3 linked regions of the Tamandua tetradactyla genome follow. The protein of the gene in region 1 interacts with the protein of each later gene in a pairwise test. Links are inferred from orthologs where the notes say so. Each region holds a gene or a part of one and is shown on either strand. Other genes may lie near its edges.

What was found.
Region 2: the proteins of KLHL2 (region 1) and TMA16 interact in binary tests that used the Homo sapiens proteins (3 or more experiments, as listed by UniProt). The two-hybrid records come from large-scale screens. The link is inferred for Tamandua tetradactyla from reciprocal best matches to the Homo sapiens genes KLHL2 and TMA16.
Region 3: the proteins of KLHL2 (region 1) and BCAM interact in binary tests that used the Homo sapiens proteins (3 or more experiments, as listed by UniProt). The two-hybrid records come from large-scale screens. The link is inferred for Tamandua tetradactyla from reciprocal best matches to the Homo sapiens genes KLHL2 and BCAM.

Annotation. Positions count from the first base shown.
Region 1 is NC_135352.1:47,417,209-47,424,865, reverse strand, and holds the start of KLHL2 (kelch-like protein 2), read left to right. Parts: upstream 1-4,648; 5' UTR 4,649-4,746; coding exon 4,747-4,772; intron 4,773-7,657. UniProt on the Homo sapiens protein: Substrate-specific adapter of a BCR (BTB-CUL3-RBX1) E3 ubiquitin ligase complex that mediates the ubiquitination of target proteins, such as NPTXR, WNK1, WNK3 and WNK4, leading most often to their proteasomal degradation.
Region 2 is NC_135348.1:2,050,910-2,058,530, forward strand, and holds the start of TMA16 (translation machinery-associated protein 16), read right to left. Parts: upstream 3,007-7,621; 5' UTR 2,908-3,006; coding exon of another isoform or gene 2,905-2,907; intron 1-2,904. UniProt on the Homo sapiens protein: Involved in the biogenesis of the 60S ribosomal subunit in the nucleus.
Region 3 is NC_135342.1:18,236,373-18,244,132, forward strand, and holds the start of BCAM (basal cell adhesion molecule), read right to left. Parts: upstream 3,007-7,760; 5' UTR 2,976-3,006; coding exon 2,891-2,975; intron 1,343-2,890; coding exon 1,221-1,342; intron 1-1,220. UniProt on the Homo sapiens protein: Transmembrane glycoprotein that functions as both a receptor and an adhesion molecule playing a crucial role in cell adhesion, motility, migration and invasion.

The DNA.
Region 1 (7,657 bases):
TACAAAAGCTCTAGAATTTAATAATATTTTCATCTCCTACTCAGAGGATGGTGCGTGAAATTAATGCCAGATGGGGGAAACTTAAAACGGGAAGATTCGGTGGGATTAAAGTAAAGAACTGCTTTCACAGTGACATAGTATTATCTTTCTTAATGAAAAAGACACCTTTTGACATCAGTTTTTTTTATCAAAAACAATTGTGATGAAACTAATGCAGAAGGCATTAGACTGCATTCTAAGAGGAAGAATAGGGAATAGGGCCTGAAGGTATCATTTTGTTAAAGTAATGGCGATGTGAAGCTACCTCATGTCGAAAATCCATGTATATTAAAGTGTAGTTCTGTAGCCAATATGTTAACTGATGGAAACATAAATTCTAAGTTGAATTAGGAAGAGAGAGCATGAGGCAGACGTGCAGATGGCAGGGTCAGGAGTGAGAAGTGTATTGAGGCTAACAGGGGAAAGGAAACAGAACGTAAAAAATGAGAATGGTTAACACAGACGAACTCCACATTCTTCTTAGGGTCGTGCTAATAGCAGCCGCGCATGGACAAAGGTGGTGACGGGCAGAGGTGGCCTGTGCAGAGCCAGAGGCGGGACAGCGATCTGATATTGCTTCATGCAATTGATCAAGAATTTTTACTCGCTCTTACTTCCCTGCAGCACTGCTGACTGTATAGAAAGATGTTTAGTCTCAGATAATTCTATAATGAGATTATTACATCACCAGACTACATAAATAGGTACAATCTAAATATATACAAATAAAAATAGATAAGTAAATTTCCTTTTTAAAAATAATACAGAGCTACTGCTTACTTGCTATACATTAATGCAAAACCTATTTTTGGATAGTTTCTGTACCAATGACAGAAGATTTCCAATTAAACTTTGCAGCAAGAAGATTGCTTTTATTTCTCCAGGAAACTCTGGTAGAGGAAAATGGGCAAATGTGCTGTGTTGGAAGTAAGGTTTGTATCTTAAAGACTATAAATGAAGCAAGCATGTGTAAACAGGGCAGACTTCTTCAGTGCAAGATTTCTGGTTGATCTGGAGCATAAGACTGCTATCACCCCACTCGACACACAAACCTGGTGACAAACCCATCTGATAAACAGAAGAATATCACAAGAACATTTTGAAGCTTCACAATATATTACATACATTAAGCTGCTTCCAAATCAAAAGGAGCAAAAAGCCAAATTCAAAGATAGAAGACCAACTCAAGTGATACATTTTGGGCAAATAGTGTAGAAAACAAGACATCTTAGCAGGTCTCCACCTTGCTTGCTCCATGTTTTTGATTGAGCGATGCTTTTCGTGCTTCCTTCTTTCCCCTGAGAGGAATTACAGAAATAGGATCTTACAGTTTTACATCATTTTTGGATTTTTTTACAGAAGCACTCCTTGGCTGCCAGATGCCTGTCACGTGAAGCGTGTGTGCCTAAGTGCCTCACGTGACCGACGGATGTCATCAGTCTACTGTAACATTTGATTTCCACTCAATCCGAGTAATTTTTTCCACCACTGTTGACATGGACTTGCCCTCTGTGTGGTTTCTTCTTCTCTGCAAGTGCTATATTCTCATCACTTGTGTTTGACTTCGATTATGGTCACTGATACGTCTAAGAGGTTGAAACATACTTCTGGGTCAATGGCATGAGAAATGGATGGACTGTGGAAAACCCCATCCCTGTGTGGGGGTGGAGGATTCCTCAAAAGAGCCACCAAGTGGGGGTGGGCTTCTGAGCTGAGGGGCCGGCCCCTGTGCTTTCCAGGCGGGGGCCCTGTGTATTTTCTTGGATTCTTTGTGTCCCCTATTTGAGAAGATGGCGAAACTGGCATAGAAAGTAAGTATTTAGTAAAGAAAATTTAGAAGGCTTTCCCCCACCGTAATGATGGATTTGTATTCATCCTGTCAAGCATTTTTTGTTTTTCTCTTGGGCCTAGTGAGACAGGCTGGGTGAGGCCACTTCTGGCTGAGCAGGAGCTCTGGGAAATGAACCACATGAAGACGAAATGGGGACTTTGGCCTCCTCTAGTGCTGCTGACCTTAAGTAAGCCTTCCTCTGTCCGACAGCCAAGTGCCATCACTGTCTTTTCAGAAAACAACAAAGACGCAGTGTGGATTAATGAATTTTTCAAACAGCTTTAAGATGGATAAGATTGATTGACTCTGGGTCTAATCTAGCTTTCAGCCTGTGTGGCGTGTTCACGTGTCTCGTCTGTGGAGAATGAAGTTCAGGGTTAGGGTTAGGGTCAGAGCCAGGGTCAGGGTCAGGATCAGGGTCAGGATCAGGGTCAGGTTTGGGGTTAGGGTTAGGGTCAGGAGCACACACTGGCTTTTAATCTACTTGGTGCCATTTGACTAGGATGCTAGAATTTGTGGACTGAACTCTATCAAGGTTGGACTGGAAGTGGTTAAAAAAGCAAAATAAAAAAACTCTCCTCCAACCCACTTGCAAAGCCTGCACATAGTTTTTTGTGTGTATATAGGACCCATTAAAAAGAGAGTATTTGGGAGACACTGAGCAAGCAACATGAGCAGTACTTTTTAAGAAGCAGAGATTGACAGACAAGGCTAATCTAGAGGAGAATGTACAGGGAGCAGTTGTTTGGAGTTGTGGGTATACTAGAGATAGACATGTCTTCCTTTTTAGTAATTACTTGCATATACCACATTATTTTGGATGGGAGGATTCAACAGCAATAGACGAAGTGGTTTCTTTCCTGAAACGGCTGATCATACATCCTGTCCATGCAGCTGGTGAGAAGAAGGAAATCAGGACAAGGCTTTGCGCACCTAAGTTACTGTGCACCTCCTGACGAGTGTCCTGAGGCAGGGGTCACAGGTGGCCATGCAAATGTACAGGAAAAGGAACAGCAACAGACACTTACAGGTGCTGCTGCTACATCTCACTGGCTGCTTTAGTTAGGAGGCCTCTGGGGCGGGCCTCAGGGGCCCCCTCCTGCCTGTCTCCTGCTGGCTCTGGACCTCTTGCTGAAGCAGACTGCTGGGCGCCCTGAGGGCATTGCTGTGACTGAGTGAGAGGAGAGGCAACTGGACAGCTGTGAGCAACTTGATCTGATCATTAAAAGGGTAGCCTTTCTGATATTGGCTTTTAAATACTCCAGAAAAAAGGAGGGGGATAGAGATAAAACAAGACTGACAAAATGTTATATTTTTGTCTGAGTTATGGGTGCATGGGGTGGCTATCAGAGCATCTTTATATAAAGTTATTGTAAGAATTAAATTGGAGACTCCAGATAAAGTGCTATGGGTGTGAACAAAGACATTCCTACTACTAGAGAAATGACTCAACCTGTAGGCCTTACTCATTGCGGGTCAATAACACTGGATACAGAGAGCTCATGCTGGGGCACCCCGAAGGCACTGCCGAGGCCTGCAGCATTCCCTGGCTCTCAAGCTGCTTCTCCTGTCCTCCGCCTACCTCACTCGCTGCTCCTTCTCTGGATCCTCTGCTCAATCCTCCTCCTCATGCTTTCTAAGTGTTGGCACGCCCATGGCTCAGTTCTTGGTCCCTTCTTTTCCCGAGCTGCATCATCAGTTGACTTCACTAGTTTTGTATGCTGTACCCTGCAGATCCATAACTTTCTGAAATGTATGTTAATTGCCAACGCCTTACCTTCACATGGATATTAAATAGACATCTCAAAATTATCGAGTCTAATTCAGAGGGCCCACGACGACCCCTTTCCCCAATTTGTTTCTTCTCAATCTCTCCAATCTCAGCAAATGTGGCAACTGCATTCTTCCAAGGGTGCAGACCCAAACCCCTGGAATCAGCTTTGACTCCTCTTCCTTACACCCTTATCGGAGCCATCAGCCATTCTTGTGGGCGGTGTACACAAAACCTCGCCTAGGAGGGGCTCAGTTCGCTCATCCAGCGATGGACAGCCGAGGGCAAGGCCCGGCTTCTTGCCGGGGCCCGGGACATTCCTTTCTGCCTCAGTTCCACCGTTTGTTGTGCCCACCCTTCCCTGCTCCCTGGCATAGCTCGCGTCAAAAAGGGGTGATGTGAGCACCTGTGAAGAGGGGTAGTGGGGACCCCTGAACCATCACTGGGCGGGGCTGCACCTTCCTTGCACAGAGACACCCTCTTATCTCCCACCACGCCACCCCGCAGAGGCCCCTGCATCGCGACCCGCCTGGCTCCCGACTTGCGCTTGCGGAGTCCGGAAGCAGTCGGGAGAGACCTGGGCGCCGGGGAGGGCCCTGGGAGCCGGGGAGGGCCTTGAGCGCGGGGGAGGGCCTTGGGCGGGGTGGGCCCTGGCGCGGGGGAGGGCCTTGGGCGGGGTGGGCCCTGGCGCGGGGGAGGGCCTTGGGCGGGGAGGGCCCTGGGCGCGGGGGAGGGCCTTGGGCCGCCGAGGCCGCCTCCCGCCCCGTCACCGCGGCGGCGGAGGCGGGGGCTGAACCCGGAAGTGGCCGAGCCCGCGCGCGCCCCGCCGCCGCCCCGCACTCGGGAGCCGCGCGCTCGGGAGCCGCGCACTGGGCAGCCGCGGAAGCCGAGCACTCGGGTGTCGGGAGTGGCGCGGAGGGACGGAACGCACTACCCAGGCCCTGGCCGCGGAGGCCACCGCGCGTGGGGGCGCGCGCTGAGCGACGTGGCGCCCTTCGCGGGGCGCATGGCGCGCGACTCGGCGGGCAGGCGGTGCCGGCGTCCGCGGCTGGAATGGTGCTGGCGGCGGCCGGTGCCCGCGATCTGAAGCCCGGGAGAAGCCACGATGGAGGCGCCGCCGCTGCCCCCCGCGTGAGTGGGCTGCCGCCTCGGGTGGCCGCGGGGGCGCGGGCCGGGGTGGCGCGGGCGGAAACTAGCCTACCAGGCGGAGACTTGGAGACGCTGCCCAGACTCCCAGGGAAGGGTCTGCCCACTCCGGACGCAGAGGCTCGGCGGGGCCGTGCGCGGGGACCTCCCGCAAGTGCCCGCGCTGCTGAGATGCGGCCGGCCGACCCTTCCGAGGGCTGGAGAGGCGACGCCCGGCAGGCCACTGAGAAAGGAAAATGGGAGCTACCGGGAGGGCGTCTCAATCAGTTGACCTTAGGTTTCTTGCTTCCCTAAATTTCTAACAGAATTAATAAGTGAGGAGCTTTTGCATCACTCTGAATGAGCCGCTGCTGTCTGGGCATGTGACCTCTTTTACCTGGCACTGCAGAACGTTTTGTCCGGAAATCTGAGGGCATCTTCTGTTTCCCTGGTACTGGGCACATCAGGAGCGTAGCGGCCAGTCGGCACAGGTGTCTCTTTTCTTGGTACCAAAATGCATTCCAGATTATCTGCAACAAAATTACTTTCCAGAAATAATAATAGCTGAAAATGTACGTGGAAGGTATTACATGTTCAGTACAAGATTTTTAAAAAATTGGTGAAAGTAGAGTGTCCTGAGAGTTTTGAAAATTTCGATTTCGATTTGCTTTTCTGAGTTTAACCTTTAGGAAGAAACAAGGGATCTTTGAATCTGACTTTTCATTTCCTTCTGGAGAACTGTGTACCTCTTGAGAGCTTATTCTCCTGGCCTTATCATTTTTCGTTTAAATGTGGCCCCTCTCCCTCCAGGGCAGTTCTCCTGCAGTAGCTGCTTGTGCTGATTCGGCAAAATTCCAGCCAAAATATAGATATTTAGTTTGGGCTGAATAGTTTTTTGATATTGAGTCCATTTAGGAATGTCGAGAGGATTCTGGAAGTACAGTTTCTAGAAACATCTTTCAGAATGTTTAATTTGAGTGGACCAGGTCATGTGGGGTCAGAGGAGCAGAGGGGGACCCTTGAACTGACCCCTGTGCCCTGCCAAGCAGGGGCTCGGTGGCTGTGACCACTGTAGCTTTGAGAGCAGTGCTGTGGGCCGTCCTGGAGGCTCCTTGGCCCAGGGAGATGGGTACTGAGAGGTCAAGGGCGCGCGGGCCAGGCTCAGCGGCACCTGGGACTGCAGACGTGTAGGGGTGCTACCTGGAGGGAATCTGCCCCTTCCGCCAGTCCTCTGTGGACCCTTTTCACTTTGGGAGCAGAGGGAACTAAAGGAAGGCACAAGGTGGTCTTGGAAGGCAGATGAAAGGATATGGAAGGAGGGAGTAGAGACACAAATGTGATTTAAATCGAGGTACTTTCACTTGAAGCGTGCATGTACAGCTCCTGATAACTGCATGGAGGGTGGGTCATAATTGTGCGGAACAACGAGAGGCTGACATCTGGGGAAGCCTGGGGTGCCAGCAGGGACGAGACAGCTGTTAGAACTCCTTCCAATCATGGGTGGCTCAGGTTGCCAAGACTTTCCTTGTTGTTTCTGTCCATTTAATTATAATCATAGATGAGGTTTGTTTTCATTTTTCTCTCCAGGGTTCACTCTTAATTCCAGAGCTCATTATGCCGTTACTTGCCTTTCTGCAGGTCAGGCATTGTTTTGTTTTCCTTCTCACCCCACGGCGGGTCTGTTTCCCGGCCCGTTGACTTGTTTCTCCTTTTGTGCTGGAGTGTGGTTGCCCATTTGAGAAATTCATCCGGGTCTTTGGAGAGAGGCTCCAAGAGTCTCCCTGTGGAGCTGGGCACCTTAGATTTACCCTGAGCCTTAAGACCAAGCAAGATGCTGCAGGTGGACTGAGAGCAGCCTGAACGGTGTGGCCAGAGCAGGGGGCCTCCTCTCGGACCAGCGTCTGTCTGCTGTTCCCCCTTCTGCCCGTGGCGAATGTCCGTGTTGCCGGGTGCTGCGCGCTGCCTTGTACCCGGCTCCTCCCCTAGCGTGTCCAGCCGTTCTCAGGCTCACTTTGTCCCTTGGCCCGCTGTCACACACCTCGGGGGTCACCGTCCTCACCCTTTCGGGGCGGACTCTGGGAAATCAGGTATTCTTCACTGTGCTCCCTCCACCCTGCTGCCCATCCCCGCTCCATGCTTGCCTGGCTGTGCCCGGGCTCTGGGCTCGGCGTGTGCTTTCACCCTGGAGGACAGGCGGTGCCTCGTCCCGTGGTCTCTGCCTGTGGCCGCACCTGAAAGGTGGCAGGCTGAGGACCGGCCCGAGGAGCGGAGACTCGGGCAGTGAAGGGAGCCCCGTGGGGGGAGTGCGGCTGCCCAGCCGGCCCCGGGCCCTTCGCCCTGGCGGTGACTGAACGTGGGGCCCAGTGGGTGCGTCCAGGGAGCACGGCGTCCACCGCCTCACGCGCAGGCTTCTGGGCCCCGCTGCCTCAGTGGCTCCTTTTTCACAAGTAGGTGTAATCTCCACAGTCTCTGCTTTTGCTTTTTCTTCACGAAATTAAGCGAACATACCTCAGACACAACTATACGTGTATATATATGTGTGTATTCCAGTTGGTGATTCCACGTCACCGGGGAGGCCACTGGCGCCATCTGGACACAGGCAGGCAAATCCTGTTCTCCGTGTTCTAAGGGTTTGAGTGTTGGAAGATGGTTAGGTCGGAGGTCCCTGGATTTTGGATTACACTGATCTGTGAAGTTAAGAACAGAAAACTGGAGCAGAATAAGGCTCTTTGAAGGGCATAGAACGAAAATTTCTTTCAGATGCTCCTCTATAGGATTGTGTCAAGTCCCAAATGTATTGACTGTTTGGGGCGACCTCAGAGAACTGAAAACAGAGCCCTCTTCCTGATACAGTAACAGAGCCCCTGGCCTGGGGGCGGTCAGTACTATGA
Region 2 (7,621 bases), on another chromosome or scaffold:
ATAGAAAACATACCCCACTAAATCCTCTTAATGAACACAAATCTGTCAACACCCTGATTTTATTTTAGCAAGGCCCAATTTCAGACATTTGACATTCAGAAATGTTAAGATAATAAATATATATTACTTTAAGGAATTAAATCTGTGGCAACAGCAGGAAACTAATATACTCTTCAGGAATATTATCTTTTACTCAATTTTTTAAAAGACCCTGCACATATTAACATTACTCTTAAAAAGGTTGGTACACTAGGTAGTTTCATTAATGTTTTTCCTTGTATTTACTACTTTTTGTCAGGTTTTAGATGGTAGCCAACTGAAAAATCAGAGAAACTGAGTCCGAGTTTAAAATTTTATTGTCCCAGGGCGAGGTCCCGGGTCTGGGTACTCAGGGTGCGGGCCGGGGAAGTCGCGACCCCGCCCAGGAGCGGCAGGGTTAGATATAGGCTAGCTAGGGGGGTGCTGACAATGCCTACGGGGCCTCCTGTGGTAGGTTAGGAGTTTCACTCGCTTTAGGGCCATGGGCATAGCTATGGGCCTTGGCAGGGGGGCATAACTACAGCCGTGTGCAGTGGGCATAGCTATGGCCCATGGCCAGGGGGCGTGTGCAGTGGGTATAGCCACAGGCCATGTGCAGTGGGTATAGTCACGGGCCGTGTGTAGGGGGGGTCTCTGTCAGGGCAGGTCCTAATTGGCTGAGTTTGAACAGCTGTATGCCCAGATGTTCACGGTTTTAGTTCGGGTGGGGGCCTTCCAGCCAAAGGCTACGAGACCAGGCCTTACACCTTTCAAGTGCAAATTTTTACTAATATGTAATCTCTTTAAACTCATTCGTTGTTTTAGTTCACATTTATAGATGTGAGCCCAAGAGAACACAATCCCTGACATTAAAGAATATGTAGGCAGTCCGATGCAGATAATGCTCAGTGATGTGGAAGGATAGGTCTAAGGAGGATGCCAGCCCGCTTTCTAATGGTTTATAATCCAGCTAAGGAGAAAAAAAGCACAACACTTAGACTCTACAACAAGAGGCTTAAGTAAAAAGGTGTACAGCCATGAGTACACACCAACTTAAAAGCACTACAAAAAAAATGTTAAACGCAAAATAAAGAAACGGTCAGTGGGATGGATTATTTTAAAAAGATTTTAAAAGATTTCACATAGTTGTGATATTAAGATAAATATATATATATATGAACTTGCGAAATTCCAGGAAAGATTTAAAGAGAAAATAAATGAACAAAGTAACAAAAGCAAACAAGTACAAGCTGTGCCCTGTTACTACTTACTACTATTACTAAGGTTCAGAACAACAAGTAACACTAAGTGCCAGACAAGGGACTAGACACTTCACATTTAACTTCCACAACAATTCTAAGAAGCAGGTACTATCCTTATCTCAATTTAACAGATGGGGCAACTGAGAATTAGGTGAAGTAATTTCTCCAAAATCACAGTTTAGCAAACACAGGTGCCAAACAGTCCTCTGGGACTCCACAGCTCACATTCTGAGCCATACTGTAGTAAGTTTAGAGTAGCTGAGACAAAATAAAAACCGCCAGCGCCAAATCAGAGGGAAGATGTGGAAGAAGCACTGGTGATGCTATACCGGAATAACGACAGGGCAAGAAATGTGCCAATAAGAAGAGGTTTTTAAACCATTCTTTTCAGTCTTATGCTAAAGCACTGTATTACTAACAAGCAGCCTGAAAAAAAGTGAAGTTCTGATAATCTAGGACTACAGCTAAATGCCAACTGACCCCCCACAGACAATCCCATGTAACTATTCCAACGTTCTACTCTGAAAATGAAAAGGTTGAGAGAGAAAACTGTATTTTAAAGGGGTGTAAATCACACAAGCATGGTGATAAAACAAACACACTGACTTTACAAAAGTGTGTATAATCTTAAAGCAAAAAAAGCAGACCGTAGATAAATACAAAAGACAATGACCGGCATGCAATGAAAAGGGAAGAAAAGAAAGAGAAAAAGTATAAAAAACATGGTCAAAATACAACTTTCCACCAAACTTTAAACCTTGTTTTTATTTTCTTGTTGTGCTGACCGAAAATTGATAAGAAAACTGGATACTTGCAAAACATGTTCCTATACAAGAAGTGCAATTCTAAGGAACAAGTGAAAAAAAGCAAAAAATCGATGTACTGTTTTAGGATACAAATTTGTGGTAGACCTACAAGGAAAACCCAGAGAATTGTAAACCCAAGATTCTGATGCTGTGCACCTCTCAGGGGCTACCGAAGGTCACAAAATCAAGGAGGGACACGCAAACGTTCTCAAAAGCTACGTTATGTTCTACTTCTTTAAAACGATCATGACGAAAGCTCCTACAATAGCTCCTCTTACAACTTAAATATGTTTTCTAAATCTCGGTTGCGTCTACTCAGTTTTTAATAAAACCAGACCCGTTTCAGAGCACGGCGGGGACGGGAGCTCGGCGGCCGGACCCAGTGAGGCCGGGGGGTGGCGGGGGCGAGGAGGCGGCGCCCGGCCTGCACGCGCCGCGGTGAAGGGCTCGCTCTCCAGCCTCCCCCAACATCGCAGAGCGACCGCGGTGGGTACGAGCAGGCCGAGCGCGGGGTCCCCCGAGGGAGGAGAGTCAGGAGGCGGCCTAGGAGGCTCAGCACGGAGCCAGCACGTCACGGTTCCGTCGCGGAGCTTTGCGGTGCGGCCCGAGGGCCTGGCCTCACCTCCGGGACGCCCGGCCCGGCCCGGCCGAAGCCGCCGCCAGGCCCCCAAAGGCATTCGCATCTCCCCTCACCCACGCGGGGCCTCTTCCGAGCCAGCCGACGCCAGCTTCCCGGAACCGCGCCCTCCATCCCTACCTGCCCGACAGAGGCCTTCCCGGGAGCCGGGCGGGCTCGAGGGGGCAGAAAGGGCACCCACCATGGTGACGTCCCCGCGTCCTGGTGGGCCTCCGCGCTCCAGCGGGGGCGGCCGCAGCGACTACAGCGGGTACTTCTCCGGGAGAAGCTCCGGTCCAAAGACACGTGCGGCCCACCGGAAAAGGCGTGCGGCCCACCGGAAAAGGAGGGGCTGGTGCGCGGCTCTGAAATGTCCCGGGAAACCGAGACCTTGTCTTTTTCTTCCGCATCACGTCCTGGCGCGCCGAGCCGCAGTGTCGGGGCGCGGGGCGGGAGGGGGCGTGGCCGACGCTGAGCGCGAGGCCGAACTTTGGGCGGCCTCTCCAGCTGCTCGCGCCGGGCCGGGAAGGAGCTGTGGCGTCCGCGGGGGTCCGCGGCTCCACAGAAGAGCCCGAAGAGGGGCGGCCTGAGACGAGCTCCCGCGCCGCGGTGCCGGCGTTGTGCCTGCGGGCAGCCCCGTGCGGCCGGTGACCCCCAGCTCCGCCGTCCTGCCCCGGGAGGCCGGTGACCCTCAACTCCGCCGTCCTGCCCCGGGCGGCCGGTGACCCTCAGCTCCGCCGTCCTGCCCCGTGCGGCCGGTGACCCCCAGCTCCGCCGTCCTGCCCCGGGCGGCCGGTGACCCTCAGCTCCGCCGTCCTGCCGCGGGCGGCCGGTGACCCTCAGCTCGGCCGTCCTGCCCCGTGCGGCCGGTGACCCCCAGCTCCGCCGTCCTGCCCCGGGCGGCCGGTGACCCCCAGCTCCGCCGTCCTGCCCCGGGCGGCCGGTGACCCCCAGCTCCGCCGTCCTGCCCCGGGCGGCCGGTGACCCCCAGCTCCGCCGTCCTGCCCCGGGCGGCCGGTGACCCCCAGCTCCGCCGTCCTGCCGCGGGCGGCCGGTGACCCTCAGCTCGGCCGTCCTGCCCCGGGCGGCCGGTGACCCCCAGCTCCGCCGTCCTGCCCCGGGCGGCCGGTGACCCCCAGCTCCGCCGTCCTGCCCCGGGCGGCCGGTGACCCCCAGCTCCGCCGTCCTGCCCCGGGCGGCCGGTGACCCCCAGCTCCGCCGTCCTGCCCCGGGCGGCCGGTGACCCCCAGCTCCGCCGTCCTGCCCCGGGCTGCCGGTGACCCCCAGCTCCGCCGTCCTGCCCCGGGCGGCCGGTGACCCCCAGCTCCGCCGTCCTGCCCCGGGCGGCCGGTGACCCCCAGCTCCGCCGTCCTGCCCCGGTCCCCGCGGCCCGGGCGGCCCCGCCTCGGTCTTGCTCTCCTCCCCCGTGAAGCCGCCTGTCAATCCCGATTTTCTGGCTTCTTCTCACCGCGGGACGCGCCTTTGCGCTCGCACGGGGCAGAGGCCTTAGGGCAGCGGTCGGAGCCTCGGGGGCGCTGCGTCCGCCGAGCCCTGCTCTGGTTCGGCTCGCGTGCTGGCGGGCCCGGCGGAAGAGGAGCGGCCTGGGCGCGCCGCGTGGACCTGCGAAGGAGCGCCGCGCCCTGTGGCCGGCGTATTTGCGCCCCAGCTCCGGAGCCAGGGACCCGTCGCTTCCCGGGAAGCCACCTTTCGCTCTCCCGACCCATCTCTCGGGTCTGGCCCGGTGCACATCAGCCTCCTGAGTTGTTCTGCAGCTCCAGGAGCATTGCATTTCTCATTATAGCTGTTCCTAATTGCTCTACTCATCGCAAATCTCTACCTGCACCTACCCTGTTCCTAAATTTAAGACTGCCAATGTCAACAAGTTATATATCCTGAAACACTTATATCCTGAAACAGCAATAATATGAAAGATACTTGAGCATCATTTAATATGTACATGTACCACGGTGATAAGCAGAGTTAATGTCCCCACTCCTTCAATTCAACCGCTGTCCCCAAGTGACCCCGTGCGTTTGTTCTGTATCCTTTTAACGATGTTTTCCTATGCTTCAACATGTGCACACTGTTATACATGTGTGTTGTATGTTAAGTATTGATTAACATTGGATATTGACAAAATCATACATGTGATTTTGAGGGTGACCACTAAAAATAGAAAACAGTACAAAAAAGTATAGAGTTATTAAAAAAAAAAGAAATACTCCAGTTAATCCAAAGCAAAGGAAAAAAGAAACATAGGATAGTAGTTGTGGTAGGTTGACTTATGTACCACAGGAAAAAAACATGTTCTTAATCCTTTCCTGTGGGTGATCACACATTGGAAACAGAACTTTTTTTATTGACTCTTTTTTTAAAATGTTTTTATTGAGAAAAACCTTCACACATTCTTTCTGTGCATGGTGCACAATCAGTGGCTCACAATATCGTCACATAGTTTTGTATTCATCACCATGATCACTTTTTAGAACATGTGCGTCACTACAGAAAAAGAAAAAAAAAAATAACTCACACATACCAAACACCTTACCCCACCCTCCCACTTACTACTAGTGTTTCCATCTACGTAATATTTTACCCCTTTTCCTCTGTTATTTGTTTATTTATTTTTAATCGTATATTTCACTCATCTGTCCATATCCTGAATATAAGGAGCATCAGACACAAAGTTAGCACAATCATACAGTCACATTGTAAACGTTATAGCTTTATATAATCGTCTTCAAGATTCTAGGCTACTGGAAAACAGCTCAACAGTTTCAAGTACTTCCCTCTAGCCACGCCAATACACCATAAACTAAAAAGGGATATCCATAAGAATAACCTCCAGCATAACCTCAGGACTCTGAAATCTCTCGGCCTCTGAAACTTTACATTGCTTCATTTCTCTCTTCCTCCTTTTGGTCAAGAAGGCTTTCTCAGACTCTTCATGCCTGTCCTGGCTTAATCCGGGAGTTCTGTCCCAGGTTGCCAGGGAAATTTACACCCTTGGGAATCATGTCCCAATTAGAAGGGAGGGCAGTGAGTTCATGTGCTGAGTTGGCTTAGCGAGAGAGGCCACATCTGAGCAACAAAAAGGTTCTCTTGGGGTGACTCCTAGGCATAATTTTAAGTAGACTTACCCTGTCCTTTACAGGAATAAGTTTCATGGGAGAGGAACCCAAGCTCGAGGGCTTGGCCTATTGCTTTGGTTGTCCCCACTGCTTGCAAAAGTATTAGAAATACTCCAACTGGGGAAGTTGAATATTTCCTCCCTCATCCCTGGTCTCCCAAGGGGACTTTGCAAATATGCCTTTATTCACTGCTCTGATTCTCTGGGATTTATCAGGGCATCAAACTAACCTGGACAAACCAAGAAAATCTCATGCCCTATTTGAAATTCCATGTACTTATGCTGTTCAACTAAACTGACTTAAAAGTTAAATTAGGAAATGCACTAACCAAAAGTAAACTTTGTACAGAATAAACAAATCAACCTTTAGTCTCACCCAAAATTGAGGCTTTAAAATATGGATGATATCATCCTTTACCCAGTCTTCTAGTATACCTTAGTCCTATCCATATCAGCTTCATTCGTATCAATAGAACCTTTTGAAGATGTTATTTTTAGCTAAATTGTGGCCCAAGTGAGTAAGATTGGCTTTAATCCTTTTCCAGGAGACTTCATGGAAAGAGAGGCACATTGAGTTGCAGAAACTGAAAAATCAAAAGAACTTGGAAGAGAAAGAAAAGAAAACCTTACCTTATGGTGGGAAAGCCAAGGAGCCCAAGAATGGCCAGACAGCCAGATTCTACCAGTCCTTGGAGCAAGCAGGCCTTCTAGCCTCTGAAACTGCGAGCCAGTAAATTCCTGTTTTTAGGCCAACTCATTGTGTGGCATTTGCCATGACAGAAAAATAAGGCATTAATATAAATTGGTAGATTTATACAAATATATATAAATATAATATATATTTTTACAAACATATAAATAATATATATTTATATAAATATATTTATATAAATATGTTTATATTTGTATAAATATAAAATGGTAGATTTGATCCCAAATAAAATGATGATAATAGGTTAAGTGCCCCAATTTAAAAACAAATATGTCAGACTGGATTTTTAAAAAATCCAATGGTAATCATTAAGAGACACACATCTGAACTATAAAGAAACTGAAAAATTGAACATAAAAAGATGGAACCAGGTAGGGTAAGCAAATACCCAAAGAATGCTGATATCAATATATTAATCTTATACAAAACAGACAAGTCAAAAAGTATTACTGGAGATAGAAAAAGTTATTGCTTCATAATGCTAAAAGTTTCCACTTTAAATTTATATATATAATCAAAATTCTAAAATAAAGAAAAACTGATCGTAATTCAAGAAGTAGAAGAGCTTTTTTCAGTAATTGAAAGACAAGCAGACAAAACATCATCAATGATTTAGAAGTCTTGACCAAAACAGAATTTGGCAGCTCTACATAGAGCTCTATATATTCCAGTCTTGGAATAATACCTATATTTTCAAACATATATGGAATAGTTATAAATATTGATAATGTATTTGGCCAGACAGCAATTCTCACAAATTTGAAATGACTGAAATCCTACAGAATATGTTCTATGACCACAATGCAATTAAATTAACAACAATCGAAAACAAGGAGATAGTAAACAGTACCCATATACTTAGAATTTATGAATTACACTTGTAAATGGGTTAAAGAAAAACCATAATTGAAATAAAAAAATATTTACAACCAAACAATAACCAAAAGAATATATGTCCAAATTTATGTGATGCATATAAAATAGTAAATAGCACCGTTAAGTATAAACGTTAGTGCCTTAGATCTTAATATTAGAAATAGAAAGTAGGCTGAAAGTTAATGAGCTAATTATTTATAT
Region 3 (7,760 bases), on another chromosome or scaffold:
ACACCTTCTGGACCAGAAAGGGGGAAAAATGTAATAAAATAAGGCATCAGTGGCCAAGAGAGATGAAATAACAGTCAAGAGGCAATTCTGGAGGCTATTCTCATGCAAGCTTCAGTTAGAATAGTGCTAATTGCCATGGTTTGCTAAACCCCAACCACTGACTTCGGTTAATTCTTATAGCTGGAACTGAGACTCTCTAAAGGTTTCATGTACTGGGCTTGCTTTCCTGGAACCTGTAATTCCTGGACGGTTCCTAGGTTAAATAAATCCTGAAACCCAGAGGGACCAGCCTCTCCAAGATTATCAGTTAATTACATATCTCTGTCATTTAGTGTCAACACCCCTTCTCCACATGAAAAAGGCAGAATGGGCACTGACCAAAGACGAAGGAGGAGGTACAACAGAGAGAATAGGATTTAACAAATGAGTATGGCTGCTGAATCACTGTATTAATATTCCTTCTGGCTTCCAGTGTTTTGTAGAAGCTAAAGGAAAAATCTGAGATGGTAGATTGGTAGCCCACGACCAACTCTGGGGTCTGTTCTGTAACTACTTGCTGAAGTGTGCTTTGAAAATTATTATTATTATTTTTTCCCTTCTTTGCTTTGTATATATGTTGTATTTTACAAAAAAAGAAGAAAATGCTAAAAAAAAAAAAAAGAAGGCAGGGAGGGCCTCAGCTCAGCATCCTGGCCTGAGCCTCCTCTATCTCCTGGGACTTGCTCCAGGGCCCATTCTTTCTGCTTCTGCATGGCTTATCTGTCTTCCCCTTATCTCTCTCTCTGGTCCCTCTGGTCCTTTCTACCTTCCCTCCCACCCCAGCTTCCCTCTCTTCTCTTTCTGCTCTCTCCCTCTTCCTCTTTCTTCTTCTATTCTGTTCCCATGCCTCTTTCTTTCTGTCTCGCCTCGTGCCTTGCCACTCATTTTACCTCCTTCTCATTCATGCTGCCCCATCTCTCTCCCTTTCTTGGTGTCTTTGGCTCTGAATGCTCTCTCCCTGTCTCAAGAGCCAGTACTCAGAAGGAGGACTTCGTTCTAAGTCTCACCCATGCTCAGACACCTGGAGACCTGGGAGAGACTCCTTCCCCCTGGCTGGACCCCAACTTCCCAATCTGGGAAATGGGGATGCAGCTTGGCAGTTAGCTAAGGGTTCTTCGGGTTCTGAGGAGGTCACATCTGCCAGTCCCACCGGGCCCAGACTGCCAACTGGCAGCACTCACCAGGAACCAATCCAGCATGAAAGGGCCGTGGGCCCCCAAGACGGTGCAGTCCAGGGTCACGGATTCCCCTCGCATCACCTCCATCAGGGGAGGCACAGAGATGTGCACCTCGGCCTGGGCATCTGCAGGGACAGTGGTCAGGCTGACACTCACTGCTACCAGGGAGAGCCCTCCAGACAGTGTCCCTCCTCCTGCGGCCCCAGCCCCCTCCTCCCTCAGACCCAGGATCCTGGGCCTCAACACCACCTTGTTTTGAGGTGACTCACCTTACCCCCTTCTCTGCTCTGTCAAGGAGACACAGGGGCCCCCAAGAGGCGGGTAGGGGGCTCTGGCGCCAGGCTGGGCAGGTCTGAGCCAGCCTGTCCCTCCCACATTCCTGAGACCTGCCCAGCCCTGTCCCCCCTCACGGCTCCCACACACCCAGCCCGCCTCAGCTCCAGACCTGACGCAGCCCACACCCCGGCCCCCCACTCCTGGGGAGGGAAATGGGGACTGAGAGGGACGGGCTGAGACAGAGGCCCAGAGACTGTGTGTGGGAAACCGACGGGGGTGCCAAAGTAGAGAAGAGGCTGGTACCCAGATGGAGAGACACGCAGAGGTAGAGACCCTATGGAGAGAGACATTTTCCCCACATGGTGGTGCCAAGCCCTGCCCAGGGTGCTGGAGGCAAACGGGTGAGCCAGCCGGGCCCGACCCTCGAGGGACATTTGGTCCAGTGGGAAAGGTGAGGGAAAGCACAATTTTACCCCAGGATACTGGTTAGAAGTGCCAGGCCCCTGTGCAGCCAAGGGGAGGCGCCCTCAGCTCAGCAAGGAAAGGGAGAGACAGCGAGGAACACCAAAGGGTCTGAGGCTCAGGGACACAGAGATGAGAGATGGAAGTGGAGAGAGGGGCTGGGTCTGAGGGAGGAGAGGGCTGCAGCCGGGACTCCTTAGTCCTGGGGGAGTTGGGGAAGTGGCCCTGGATTCCTGGGTCCAAGGATCCTGGCCGAATGAGGTGATCTTGTCAGGAAACCATGCTCTCTCATCCCCTGGGCTGGCATCCTGGCATCAGTTCTCAGTTCTCAAAACCTCTCTTCTCCTTCCCGCCCAGCCTGGCCCAACCCAGCCCCCAGGGACCCACTATTTGCCAGGCTTCTGCTGGGACCTGATTCCCAGGCACCCATCTCTGGCCCCCGCCTGTCCCTGCGGCGGGGGCGGGCGGCCAGGCTCTCTGGTCTCTCCGTGCTTCCATCCCCAGCCCCAGGGGCCTCCTCCGCCCCCCACCCCCACCCCACCACGCAGGTGTGCGGATCTGTCTGGGGCCCCAGGAAAGGGGCACTGTCAGTAGGAAGCTGCCACTGCCCAAACCAGGGCCCCAGCCCTGGCCCTGGGAGAGGCGGCTTAGAGTCCGGACTCTGAATCCAGTTTGGGGAAACCCCCAATGTCTTTGACTTGCTCAAATGTCTCTGAGGGATCACTGGCCCCCTCAAAACTTGAGAGCCTTTGGTAGTGGGGGTAGGGGGGATGGGGAAGAGCCCTGAGTTTGGGTTTTCTGTCACCTGGGGAAGAGGTGGCTGGAGTCCCGGCCTCCTGGGTCTGAGGGAGGAAAGGGCTGGGGGCCCATATTCCAGGGTCTGAGTGGGGAGAGACGCCCCCCAAGTCCTGTCCCGTTTTCAGCCCGAGCCCTACCTGGGCGCGCCCCGAGCAGGAGCGCGAGCAGCAGCAGCAGCCGCGGGGCTCCGCACGCCCCGGCCCGCGCGCCCGGGGGTTCCATGTTCGCGGCGGCGGCGACTGACCAGGGCTGCGGCTCGGCGCGCGGCGGGGCTGGGGAGAGAGGAGGCCCCGCCCCCCGGTGCCCCGCCCCGCCCCGCCCTCCCGGCCCCCCTCGTCCCGCCTCGTCCGGGCGCGGGGCCAGGACCTCCCACTGCCCAGAGCTGGACCTCCCAGCCCCGGCCGCCGCGGGGGGCTGCCTCCACCCCCGAGCCCCGGCTCTCGGCTTAGGCGGAGGTGGGGGGGGAAGGGGGGTCCTGACCGACCAGTCCAGCCAGTGCCCTGGGCTGGGACCTCACCCAGTGATGGCAATCCCCGACCCTCTCCACCCTCAGTCTGACCTGGGGCCTTGGGAACATGTTCCCACTATGGCCAGTGGCCTGGACTGGCCCCATCCATTTGAACCAGCAGATCCTAGTACAACCAGTGGGCTGCCCTGGGCTCTCCAGGTGTGAACAGTGGCCCCCAGACTGACCTACAGCCCATGGCAGCCTCCACAGAACCATCTCATCAGTTAGGCTTTCCCAGCCTAAATTAGACTTTCCCAGTTTGCCCTGTAACTCCCACCATGACCGGTGGCCTGGGATGGCTTTGCCCAGTATGTCCCATGAGGCCCTGTCGTGTGTGATCAAGGCTCTGGGCCTGTCTTCTCTGTGACCAGTGACCTGGAACTGACCAGGTCAACCTGTTATAGCTAATGGTTTTCCAATCCCTGTTCGGCCCAGTCCTCAGTGGAAATGGTGTTGGGGGAGGGCGCCGGAAGGCGGCGGGGTGCTCTTACTCTTGCTGTCCCCTGTGAGGCCCTTCCCCCCACCCCCGCCACCCCCCCTCTAGGGAATCCCAAGAATGCCACCCCCCTTTCTCCCTCTCTCTCTCCCCTTCCTACCTTCTCAGCCTTAGGGGGAGGGGAGGAGAATCAGGCTAGCAGGAGCAGGTGAGTGGGGGAGGGGAGGAGGCAAGGGCACCTGGGGAGGGGGAAAGAGCCTCACCATTGTTCATGGTGTGAATTACTCGATGTGTGTGTGGGGGGGGGGCACAAGTCAGGTCAGCCGGAGGATCACAGGTCAGACTGCCAGAAGCTCCTCACAAGTGGGTTGGACTGGGACAAAATCCCCCAGACTGTTGGCTGCAGGAGGAGGGGGAGTGTGGTGACATTGGTCATCTGGGAGAAACTAGCCTGGGGTGCAGGTCAGAATGGGGACCGCTGGTCATACTGGGAGAGGTTCTTAGGCCTCTGATCAGACTGTGAGTCATTGGAACCTGGGCTTGTCCCCATAAAACACAGAGTAGCCTGGTCAAGGCCACTTCACCTATTGGCCACACAGATGAACAACTGTTATCCTGGGAAAGGTGACCGTTCAGTATTAACTTCCTCCTCCAAGAAGCCCTACTTGATCCCTCTGGGCAACCCCAGACCTTTTGTCTCCCTCATCCCAGTCGTGTCCACTCCGTATCATCACTCCCTAAGGACGGAGCCGGGGGATGTTTTGGTCACGGCTGTGTCCCCAGCACCATCCAGCACAGGGCCAGGCACCTAGAAGGTGCGGGATGGTGGGGGGGGGGGCTCAAACTCAAGAGCACAGGAACTCAAGTGCAAACTCCACCCTGATTGGCTCATCACAAGACACACCACACAAACCACTCCAGGGCAAATTCAGGCGCACTCCCAGGCAGCCCCCTAGCGCTCTCTGACAAGCTCACATGCTCCAACCCCAAACATCCACTCCTAGCTCTGCCGTCCCAGGCTTGTGCATCTGCTCGTGGCTGGACACGGGTCAGCACCTTTTCTTCAGCATCGCCGTCCACCCTCCTCAAGAACCCAAGCAGCTGGGGTTCTAGAAGAGAGAAAGGGATGTGTGGAGGGAAGCCATAAACACCAGCTGCAGCCCCTGGCAGGCTTGCAGAAACGAGCCCCATGACATCATCTGCATTTGCTCCCTACAATTTATGCTCTACCAAACAGCCAAAGGGATCCCGTTAAAATATGAGTCAGATCACATCACTCTTATGCTCAGAAACCTCTTATGGCTCCCATTAGATTAAAAGCTAAAGCTCGCTCCATGTCTTACAAATTCCTTTGAAATTCAGCCTTACTTCATCTCCCACCCTCTCCCCCTTGTTCATTCACCTGATGCTGCACTTTGCAACCGTCCTGTTGCACAGATGTGCTGGGTATGTTCCAGCCTCAGGGCCGTTGCATTTGCTGCTTCCTCTGCTGGGACATTCCTCTCCTTCCCTCACTCACGTGCTTCAGATCCTTGCAGGAATTTTGTTTTCATCACCTGTGCCTAAAACAGTGCTTGGTGTAGGGAGGAGCTGAGTCAATATTTGTGGAATGAATGAATTAATTTGCCAGTTCCATCCTTGCTGTGTCATGTATCTATACACACGTATTTTAATTAGAAAGCCTTATCTTTTCTCTACTTTTATCCCATTATTTTACATACAACGGGTAACAGTTAACTTTCACTTTTTTTTTTAATGGGATTTTTTTTTAATTTTTTATTTTTTATTAACGGAAAGAAAGAAAAAAAAGAAAAAAAGAAATTAACACAACATTTAGAAATCATACTGTTCTACATATGCACTCAGTAATTCTTAACATCATCACATAGATGCATGATCATTGTTTCTTAGTACATTTGCATCGGTTTAGAGGAACTAGCAACACAACAGAAAAAGATATAAAATGTTAATATAGAGAAAAGAAATAAAAGTAGTAATAATAGTAAAAAACAACAACAAAAAAACCCTATAGCTCAGATGCAGCTTCATTCAGTGTTTTAACATGATTACTTTACAATTAGGTATTATTGTGCTGCCCATTTTTGAGTTTTTGTATCTAGTCCTGTTGCACAGTCTGTATCCCTTCCGCTCCAATTACCCATTATCTTACCCTGTTTCTAACTCCTGCTGGACTCTGTTACCAATGACATATTTCAAGTTTATTCTCAAATGTCCGTTCACATCAGTGGGACCATACAGTATTTGTCCTTTAGTTTTTGGCTGGACTCACTCAGCATAATATTCTCTAGGTCCATCCATGTTATTACATGCTTCATAAGTTTATCTTGTCTTACAGCTGCATAATATTCCATCATATGTATATACCACAGTTTATTTAGCCATTCTTCTGTTGATGGACATTTTGGCTGTTTCCATCTCTTTGCAATTGTAAATAACGCTGCTATAAACATTGGTGTGCAAATGTCCGTTTGTGTCTTTGCCCTTAAGTCCTTTGAGTAGATACCTAGCAATGGTATTGCTGGGTCGTATGGCAATTCTATATTCAGCTTTTTGAGGAACCGCCAAACTGCCTTCCACAGTGGTTGCACCATTTGACATTCCCACCAACGGTGGATAAGTGTGCCTCTTTCTCCACATCCTCTCCAGCACTTGTCATTTTCTGTTTTGTTGATAAACTTTCACTTTTTGATACCCACAACCGCATGGAGGAGTCCTGAAGATAGGTCTCACTGATATGAAATGTAAATTCACAGAGACAGAAAGAAGACCATGAGTTATCTGGGGGTGGGGGGTGGGGGAGTTAAAGTTTAATGGGTACAGAATTTCTTGGTTTGGGGTGCTAGAGAGAGTTTCATGGGTGGTGGTGATAGAGGCGCAATGTGCCAACTGCAATTAACCTCACTGAATTATATACTTGAAAGTGGCTCAGATGGCAAATGCCATGCCACATATATGTTTCTACATTAAACATTAGAAAAAAAAAAATTAGTTCCCAGCTTGCAGAATATAGGGATCATGTCACCTTTGGAAGGGGAGTGGATATCATTCCTCAATAATGCCAGATTTGGATGTTTAATGGAACCGTTGGAATTTTTTATTGTTTGGGGACAAGGGTATGAATGCATCTTGGTTGTACAATGACAGTTACTGGTGCAAGGAGAGTTTAGATAAGAACCTTTGGAGGGGGGATACATAAAGAGAAGATGAATGTTGCATACTGACGTTGACATGCAAAGGGGATGGACTATAATGAGTTCCTTCTGGGGCCATTTCCCAGGATTTGCAGCCTCTTCCCACATTCAGAGAAATCTCCACTGAATGAAAGCCTGATGCCCTTTTGTTGAAGCCAAGGACAGATATTTGCTTTCTTGCCTCACTTTGGAGGTAAGGTGATCTAAGCTTGGCAAATCCTGCCATACTTTTGAATCAGGCGCTCATAATGCAAAAGAATCAGGGAGCTTTTCTTTATACCGGGAGGTTATTCTCTGAAGAGGTGATGTCAGAATAAGAGATTTGAATTCATTTCAGCCACGGCAGCTGGGGCAGTTTGCATTTTTCAGGGATGGCTCCACCAATACCTCTCATCCCACAGGCTCCTCAACACTCTTTCTATGGAGAGGTGGGTTCTGTGCCCCTCTCCTCTTCACTCTGCAGCTTTGTGACTTGCGTGGAAACAACAGAAGGTGGCAAAATTGACAGTGCACGACTTCCAGGATCGGGTCAGAAGAGGCCGTGCATGATGTTCCACAGGGACCGAGTCTCTGGGGCGAAGGACAAGTATTGGTAACGGATGGTGGCGATGGTACCTCAACATCATGAATGAGATTGCCACCACCGAGCTGTATACCCGGAAGTGGCTCAGATGGCCAATATTATGCTGCATATATGTTATCGCAATAAAATTTTTTCTAAAAATGCAAAAAGAAGACCATGAAGCTTTTGCCTCTTTCCCTGGAATCCTGTGCTTGAGCACTGCAGCCACCATTTGGGCAGTGTGACCGTCTGAGGCCACCATGTCATAGGGGAAACCCAAACTAGCAAA